Linked DNA regions of Xenopus tropicalis. The protein of the gene in region 1 purifies or fractionates together with the protein of each later gene. This does not show direct contact. Links are inferred from orthologs where the notes say so. Each region holds a gene or a part of one and is shown on either strand. Other genes may lie near its edges.

Region 1 (4,376 bases):
CATAGCAACATACAGCGTCCCTTCCCGCTTAGCAACATACAGCGTCCCTTCCCCCATAGCAACATACTGCATCCCTTCCCGCTTAGCAACATACAGCGTCCCTTCCCGCTTAGCAACATACAGCGTCCCTTCCCCCATAGCAACCGACAGCATCCCTTCCCGCTTAGCAACATACAGCATCCCTTCCCGCTTAGCAACATACAGCATCCCTTCCCGCTTAGCAACATACACCTTCCCGCTTAGCAACATACAGCGTCCCTTCCCGCTTAGCAACATACAGCATCCCTTCCCGCTTAGCAACATACAGCATCCCTTCCCGCTTAGCAACATACAGCATCCCTTCCCGCTTAGCAACATACACCTTCCCGCTTAGCAACATACAGCATCCCTTCCCGCTTAGCAACATACAGCATCCCTTCCCGCTTAGCAACATACAGGATACAAGATCCAGCTAGAAGTGCAATGGGGCAGCACACAATGAGAGAGAGAGAGAGAAAGACACCCAGTGATGAGAGCGCTGCCGGGAATACTCACACTGCCCAGGCTGTAATGCTCAAACAGCTGCTGGTACGGCTGGCCCCCTGAATTCTGCTGGCACGGGGCAGGAAAGTGCTGAGATGCAGAATGAAATTGCTGGGAACCTGGGGGGGCTTGTTGCAAAGGCTTCTGGGAATACTGCTGCAGAGGCTGCTGACTGTGGTGAGAGGACTGGTTAGACATCTGCTGGGACTGCTTCACAGACTGTTGCTGAGACGGATTCATGGGTGCCTGGGACTGGCGCTGAGATTGCGGGGACGGGGTGGCTGCTGGCTGGGACTGGTTGACAGACGACTGGGAATGGGGCAGAGGCTGCTGGGACTGGTGCACAGAATTCTGCAGATTGTGTGGGGATTGGTGCAAAGGCTGCTGGGACTGGTGCAATAGTGGCTGCTGGGACGACTGCTGAGCCTGATGTGATGGCTGCTGGGAACGGTGCAAAGGCTGCTGGGACGGTGGCTGGAGTTGCTGGTGCAAAGGCTGCTGGGACAGCGGCTGAAGTTGCTGGTGCAAAGGCTGCTGGGACGGCGGCTGAAGTTGCTGGTGCAAAGGCTGCTGGGACGGCGGCTGAAGTTGCTGGTGCAAAGGCTGCTGGAGTTGCTGGTGCAAAGGCTGCTGGGACGGCGGCTGAAGTTGCTGGTGCAAAGGCTGCTGGGATTGATGCAGGGGCTGTTGAGGCTGCTGAGACGGGTGAAGTAGACTGGCATGGCTAAAGTGGTATGGGGGCAGCCTCTGGTCACCAGGAAATTTGCTTGTATCCAAGGGGACTCCCTGAGAAACAAAGGGACAGGATCAGAGGTGGGGCACGGAACAGGGGGGCACGTGACCCCGCCCACTCACACACACACCTACCTGGGTAATGGAACTCAGTGTAGGAGACATAGTAGGGGAGAACTGCTTCTGGTGGGCCCTTCTAGAGTCCCCCCCCAGAGGGAGAGTGAGAGGGCTCAGTGGGACTCTCCGGCGCGGGGACGTGTTCATGGGGGTGGGCACCGGGGGAGGGAATGAGGAGGATGGCGAGGATGGGGTGCTGTAGGCCGAGGGAAGGCTCTGGCTGCTGTTGCTGAGGGAAGAGGTCAGGGATTGGCTGCTCAGAGAGGACTGCAGGGAGGGATTGCTATAGGAGGTCTGCAGGGAGGGGTTGCTAAGGGAGGCCTGCAGGGAGGGGTTGCTAAGGGAGGCCTGAAGGTTCGGGTTGCTCAGTGATGACTGAAGGGACGACCGACTCAGCGAGTTCTGCACTGACGATGGGGAGTAACCTGCACAGAGAGAGAGAGAAATTAAAGCCCAGCCCAGGGGATTATGGGAAGGCAGAATGGGCGAGTATCTATCTGGGTGGTACCTGGAATCTCATACTCTGGGGCCAGCCCCATCCTGCTGATGCCCAAATGGGTCATGGTGTTGGCCAGATTGCCAGTGCTGCTGCCCCCGCTGAGGCTACTGAATCCTGACTCGTCCAGATCCAGGGGGGTGGGGAGAGGGGAAGGCAGGTGCAAATTAGTCAGGTCCGGCAGTGAGCCCCCAGAATTAAGGACAGAGGGCACTGGAGGGATACTTGTGGGCTCGTCCACTGATGGGCAAATGCTGCAATGACAAAGAGAACAATCACAAATGGTTCTAGGTGCCCCTACTGCCCAGTGTACAGTATAATATGGTTCTAGGTAACCTTACTGCCCAATGTACAACATAATACAGTCCTAGGTACCCCTACTGCCCAGTGTACAATCTAATACGGTTCTAGGTACCCCTACTGCCCAATATACAACATAATACAGTTCTAGGTACCCCTACTGCCCAGTGTACAACCTAATACGGTTCTAGGTACCCCTACTGCCCAGTATACAACATAATACAGTTCTAGGTACCCCTACTGCCCAGTGTACAACAACAACACCTACTGCCAAGTGTACAACATAATATGGTTCTAGGTACCCCTACTGCCCAGTGTACAACATAATATGGTTCTAGGTACCCCTACTGCCCAGTGTACAACATAATGCGGTTCTGGGTACCCCTACTGCCCAGTGTACAACATAATACGGTTCTAGATACCCCTACTGCCCAGTGTACAACATAATACGGTTCTGGGTACCCCTACTGCCCAGTGTACAACATAATACCGTTCTAGATACCCCTACTGCCCAGTGTACAACATAATACGGTTCTAGATACCCCTACTGCCCAGTGTACAACATAATAAGGTTCTGGGTACCCCTACTGCCCAGTGTACAACATAATACCGTTCTAGGTACCCCTACTGCCCAGTGTACAACATAATACGGTTCTAGATACCCCTACTGCCCAGTGTACAACATAATACAGTTCTAGATACCCCTACTGCCCAGTGTACAACATAATACAGTTCTAAATACCCCTACTGCCCAGTGCACAACATAATACGGTTCTAGATACCCCTACTGCCCAGTGTACAACAACAACCCCTACTGCCCAGTGTACAATATAATATGGTTCTAGGTAATCCTACTGCTCAGTGTACAACATAATATGGTTCTAGGAACCCCTACTGTGCAGTGTACAGCATAATATGGTTCTAGGTTCCCCTACTTTTTCCTGCAAAATAACCCTTATGGTACTACTGCTCGTAAGGTGTGGGCCTGGGCTGTCACTTACTTAATGCCTGGAACTTCACAGGATTTGGGCCGAGAAGACGACATGAGCATCTGTGGGGCAAAAAAATATTAACAGAGCAGCAATGATTTATGTACACACAAAACAGATGCACATCCCATTACCCCATGAGAGGAGACGGCAGGCACCCAGGGCCACTCTCTGCACCCACATGAACCCGCACACACATTCCAACAGGGCCACAGACTTACCCTTTTAGCATCACACGGACTCAGCAGGTGGCTGCTATCTGAGTGGAGGTCCTCCTCTATAGCCGGCGCCGGAAAGAGAAACGCTGAGGGGCAGATCGGGAAGGAAACATGGCATGAGCCTTTAACTGACTACCGACCCCATAATCCCCCCCCTACAGGCGACTACCGGAACAAACCAACCCACCGGTTCTCCTGTTGGGCAGCGCCATGCCCTGTGCGGCTCCGTATGGATCCTGTGAGCTGGGATTCATCACGCTGGTATGGAGAGCAGAGTCCGAGTTTGTCCTGAGGAGAAGCCATGGACACACGTCAGGGCTAGTGGGAGGGGCCAGCAAGTAGCCACCGGGACAAAGCAGGAAATAAACACTGAAGCCAGAAGGGGCCACACGTTGCTTATGGTACCCAGCACAAGCACCCACTGCTAGCCCAGGCACACACCCATATAGCCACACACACCCCTATGCAATAAGGCACTCGTGGTACAGGGGGGGCGGAGGGGGCCACACAGCTGCTTAGCTCCTCCCAGTACGCAGCAAAGCGGCAGAGAGAAGCGGCAAAAAGAGGGAAGCGGCAGAAGAAACTTCACCTGTTTAGGGCGGTCGGCAACCTAAAGAGCTGTCCTGTGTCCGAGGGGTAGTTTCCCCAGGGCATGTTCCTTTGTAATGAAAAACAGCAGAGTTATCCAGGGACCCGAGGGTCTGGGGTGGGCAGCCACGGGGGGGGGGGGGGGGGTATATAATGGGTGGGGGGCACAAGGCCTGTGGTTAGGTGCTCCAGCCACATATATTAACTTATGTGTCTCCTTCTGCCAGAGAGGAGCCCCCCGGCAGCGCACAGGAGGAAGCCCCGCCCCTAGCATCCCAGAGAACCAATCAAAAGCAGGAACCCCCCAAACTGTGTAATGCTCTTTAGTCTTCAGCCGCTGTCCTTCCCATTCACAGCCTGAATAGTCAGCTATAAATACCAGCCACGGGGCAAATGGGGGCAAATGTAAGGCAA
Region 2 (5,057 bases), on another chromosome or scaffold:
CACATTCATAAGGTCAGTGAGGTTGTGGCAGAATTGAATTTGAAGCAAATGCCCAGAATGTTTTACAGCAATGCTGTCCAATGGGAGGCCCACAGGACAGATGTGGCCCTCCAATGGAATTTTATAGCCCCCCTGTCCACTAAGGAGCTATATAGACTTCTTTGTATGACATTATTTTAAGATAATATGATGCTCATGTGGAATGTCAAATCTACTCACTGCATGAGAAGTTGGACAGCACTGCTTATTACTGTATCTTAAAGGAACAGTAAACAGTGTTTAACATAAATTCAATGAATAGGGCTTGTGCTGAACATACTTTTTGGCTGTTTTTATTATCAAAAAATCAATGGTTCTACACCATGGTTGATTTTTGCAACAGAGCTAATTAGATCAGTATACAAGCCAACCAAGTGCAGTATGAAGGGGAATTATCTGAGCTCTGGTAATATCATTTGCTACCTGGAAAGGACCAAATATGGAGTAGCTTTTAATTTCCCAGTCCAGCTCAAGAAGTAAATACATTTTTTTGTACTTAAAACTATAGGCAAACAGTATGTTTGGCACAAGGCCTAGTAATTAAACTCATGTTAAACAAGAGTATACAGCCCCTTTACCATTTTACTGAATAGATTTTAACAAATATTTGTACTGAACTTTTGTTCCCTATGTGTACTGTTAGTGTATTCTTAAAAATATACAACTGTGTAGAGACCGATGTGAGTTTAACTGGGTAGACCCCCACCCAGCTCACATTTTTTACCTGTTCTGGCCCACAATCTAAAGACTACCAGGAGGGATACCATAATGCAAGAAGTGAAATAGTAAAAAGGAAGTTTAAAAATTGAATGAATAACTGTAAAGGAATAAAAAAAAAAAATGACACCCCAGAAACCCCATTAAACCCCCCCAAAAAAAATTTCGCAGATAACCCTGGGTACCCAACACTCTTCAGGACTTTAGAACTACTTATGTAGACAGCACTTTAAAAATCAGCAACTTTGTGTGTATATGGGGGGGGGGGGGGTATTATCCGCTATACAGAAGCTCAGTGGAAATATAACTCATACAAATGGAGTCTTTGGGCAGCTGTAGGATGGTATAGATATCTTAGAGACACATCTGATGTGCATGTTTCAGTCACACAGTTCTGAAAATTAAATCTCTTGAATAAAAAGGTTCTCAAAACCTGTTCTAATGCCTCCCTAACAATGACATTTCTGTGAATATCCAAGCATTCCAGCATGAGGACCTACCACATTTTGCTATTCACATAATAATGAACATATGTGGATAAGTGGACATTCTCTTGCCTCAGGTCAGGTTCCAGACACTCTGTTCTAGAACACTACAGCATTCCCAGGATTCCAAATATAGTAAACAAGTGAGACAAAGGTAACCACATAAACAAGCATTCCATAAATGCAAGGAGGTGGGTGACTGGTACCCCCACTCCATTAATAAGGATTTCAATGCCTCTCATGTGGTTTCTTGGGGAGTTATCTAAAATATGTATAAAGTAACATCACAGTGCATTTAATAAATAAATTATTCCTCCATATCTAAAATTTAAGTGGGAGAAATTTAACAGAAAATGTATCTGTTCTAATTAGGGGTGTAAAAGAAAAATAAGGGCGGCTGGAGGAAATTAAATAAACCAGATCTAAATAATAATAAAAATATATCAATTTTCCATGGATGCCTGTTATCCTGTAGAACAGTCAGGACTAAGGCCATTCTGTCAGACAGGGCACGCCCACACCTGCCAACTCTTCACAGACACGCACCCAGATGCAGATCTACAAATCCCTCTGCACGACGAGGGACTGGTCTGACAGGAATGAATGAGCCTGGACGCATGAAACAGCACACAGGCCAGGCCCAGGGCGGAGGTGCGCAGCAAGGCGCGTCCTACTGCTTCACTGAGGCAAGGCTGGCTAAGGAAACAGCCAACTATAGAATCCACTTCTGGGACAGTGTGAATTAACCTGGCAAATATCACATATGAAAATTAAAAAAACGTATAGAAAATAGGCTGTTATCTCAGACAGCCTTTATAATAATGAAAAAAAATCTGAGCTAGACCTATCATGGGAAGATTTTTTGTACAGTAAAAGGGCTTGCAGCATCACCATAACCCTTCCTTCTCCCCCCACCCAGATTGCTGTCAGTGGAATAACAAAGATAGGAGGTCTGCACAATAACACTGCACCAATGTACAATGAAAGGATGCACCCAGCAAGCTACTACACCCTGACTGCTTTGGCTGACAGATGCTGGAATTCTGGGAAAAAATATATTTAAAAATTCAAACACCGTTTGGATGCAGCTTTAAGCTCAGTGGAGCTAGATTTCCATCCCATCGGAACGCTATCAAACCCCTGTGCCTCTTCCAGCTTGTGAAGCCAGTGGAATGCTGGGAGTTGTAGTTCAGAGCTGAAGGTTGCAGGGCTTTGAGGAATAATGGAGACCCCCCTTATGTGACCAGTGTGTGTAACCCAAGAGAACTCATTACTGGCCAGACACGAAACCTGCACATTGTCCATGATTCCAGCTTGACTGGGACAATGAGCCTTTCAGCCCACAAATGCCGCCCGCAGCCTGAGGGCCATCCCACCCAAGTGCCATTTCCATGGCGATGCCTTAACCCCCTGTTCCGCTGCCAGACAAGCGGCTTTTCCCACATATCCAGGAAATTGCACCACTGCAGACGTTTTACCGGCCCCAGCCGCCATCTTCCCCAGTGATCCGCCCATAAGCACACTGCCCTATCCCCGGCACATATATCCCTACATCCCCTCTGCGGTCCCACAGCTCCCATGCACTCCGTGCAGCCCGGTTAGCAGTGCATGCTGGGATGTGTAGTGTATCAATAGGGGAGCTGCCCCCCAGTCTAAGCCTCTGTTATTCCTCCTAAAAGGCTGAAGGGTCAGTTACACCATAAATCGCCCTCCGCCCCCCATAGTCTCGCCCTATTCGGCAGTCGCCATTTTATAAGCAGCCTCCCTTCCTACCACAGCCCCCTCCCGCTTGGCCGCCAGCAGCCAGCCCCAGGGAGCTCCTCTAACACTAAATGGCAGCCAGGTCTAAGCAACTGTCATCCCAGAAAAGCAGTCCCTATTGTACTATGAGGGTCTCCTTTGTCCTCCCCTCCCTTTGCTAGACCCTCCGCCATTTTGTCTCGCCTCCATTCTCTCCGCCCGTCGACCTAAGGGGGGGAATTTAGCGATTCTTCTTACCGTCATATCTCTCGGCTTGCTCTGCCAGCTTGGCTCGGTACACTAGATCCTCTCGCTCTTCCATGGCGGTAGCTAGCGGGGATTAAAGGCGATCTACTGGGCGGATGGAAGCCGATTGTCTGTCTCCGTCTCCCAGTGACTCAACCTCTCTGTCTCTCTAGCTCTGCCCGGGAAAGATGGCAGCCTCAATCCGGGCACTTCCGCCTGCGCACGCGGACAATCGCTCAACTCTATGGCAACGGCTCCCTAGCAACAGCAGCAGGCGCGGCACAAATGGGCGGGGCCCAACGGCTTTGCGTCAGGCATGAAAGGGCGGGGTTTTTACCTCATGCTGACCTTATAAGGGAGTCCGGGAGGTATGGGACGATTGTCTCATTGATTATTGTGATGGAGGGGGAGGTAGTGAAATAGAAAAGACGGGCTTTATACTATATAGCTTCCAGGTAATGTCAGAGATCCTTCTGTTCTAGTAGTTCCCAAGGCTGCGTAAGTAGGCGGGGCGGGAGCGCTAAAGTTGGTCGGGCTGCGCTGCGCTGTGACTGGGGCGCAGTTTTCTATTATTCCCCCTTTTTTTTTTAAATTTAAATCACACTTAAACTCGTCTGTGATGCCAATCTAATTACATTTCCCTCTGTAGGAATGCACTCCCTTCTAATGATAGGGTTATGCAAGGAACAGCAGGATAGCAGCCGATTTCCATTGATCTCCATGGCTGTTACTATAACACAGGGATGGGTGAGAGGGGATGTAAGGGCAGGGGTTACACACAGATTCATTTGCTGGTTTTAGAAAGGGATGAGCTGTGTATGCTTTCCCACCAACAAGTCACTGATGCCAGTGGGAAGGCATTTCAGGGAGATTAGTTGTCTGTCTTTGTGTCCCCATTACTGGTGACAAAATGGTACCAGTGACAGACTGTTACAGCAACTGGTGCATTAAAGTGCGTTACTTAGTGACTTAACTAGGGGTGACGGCCCCACAGCAGTCATTTTAGGGAGCATGCTTAACTTTTGTCTAATCGTGTTGCTAACAGGCAGGTTCTGGAACTGGCAAAGCACCCAGTGAACATTAACTGCAAATTCAATGTTATCTGGCTGAAAATTGGCCAGCTGCTGATCAGGTAAGTTAAAAAAATCCCATTGGGACAAGAACCAAATCAGCTTGTTAGCATGGTCCTCCTCCTAACAGAATGCATACTGTCTTTGGATCAAATTGAATCAGTGTGATATTGACCAGCTCAAGGTGGGCTGATACAGGTGAGATCCTCTTGTTTTGCAGCTTCACCAAAACAAGCAGATCATTTAGTATATGGCCAGCCTTACACTGTGCAGCTCTAGGCTGTATCTCTCGGGACTAGTCTTGCATGAAAACGGACATTAACTCTGTATAGATCCCTGGTAAGGCCTTCCGTTAAAGGGATACTGTCATGACTTTTACGGGGTACTTTTTATTTCTAAATTACACCGTTTACATAGCAAATCATTCCCTCTAGCATTTAAATTTTTATTCTTGAAGCTATCTTTCAGAAGGAGTTGTGCTACAAATTCTCACTGCTTTCAGATAATCTATTCTCTCTTTCCTGTAACTGGAGGAGTCCTAAACTGGACTTGGATTTTTTACTATTAAGTGCTATTCTGACATCTACCACTTTTAGCAATACAGGTGTCAGGGAGCTGCTGTCTCGCTACCTTCCCATTTTTTTGCTGATTGGCTGCTGGGGGGAAGGGGGGGTGACATCACTCCAGCTTTAGAGTGACTGAAGTTTATCAGAGCACAAGTCACCCTGGGAAATGAAGGACATGGCTAGACCCATGTGAA

The links. Proteins that work in one complex are often made in the same cells at the same time.
Region 2: the proteins of crtc2 (region 1) and ywhae purify together in Homo sapiens (affinity purification with mass spectrometry; 3 studies listed by BioGRID and IntAct, with this or other methods). This does not show direct contact. The link is inferred for Xenopus tropicalis from reciprocal best matches to the Homo sapiens genes CRTC2 and YWHAE.

What each region holds. Positions count from the first base shown.
Region 1 is NC_030684.2:144,414,414-144,418,789, forward strand, and holds part of crtc2 (CREB-regulated transcription coactivator 2), read right to left. Parts: intron 4,033-4,376; coding exon 3,964-4,032; intron 3,663-3,963; coding exon 3,562-3,662; intron 3,461-3,561; coding exon 3,378-3,460; intron 3,219-3,377; coding exon 3,169-3,218; intron 2,122-3,168; coding exon 1,880-2,121; intron 1,797-1,879; coding exon 1,390-1,796; intron 1,309-1,389; coding exon 535-1,308; intron 1-534. UniProt on the Homo sapiens protein: Transcriptional coactivator for CREB1 which activates transcription through both consensus and variant cAMP response element (CRE) sites.
Region 2 is NC_030678.2:46,066,432-46,071,488, forward strand, and holds the start of ywhae (14-3-3 protein epsilon), read right to left. Parts: upstream 3,474-5,057; 5' UTR 3,304-3,473; coding exon 3,240-3,303; intron 1-3,239. UniProt on the Homo sapiens protein: Adapter protein implicated in the regulation of a large spectrum of both general and specialized signaling pathways. Binds to a large number of partners, usually by recognition of a phosphoserine or phosphothreonine motif.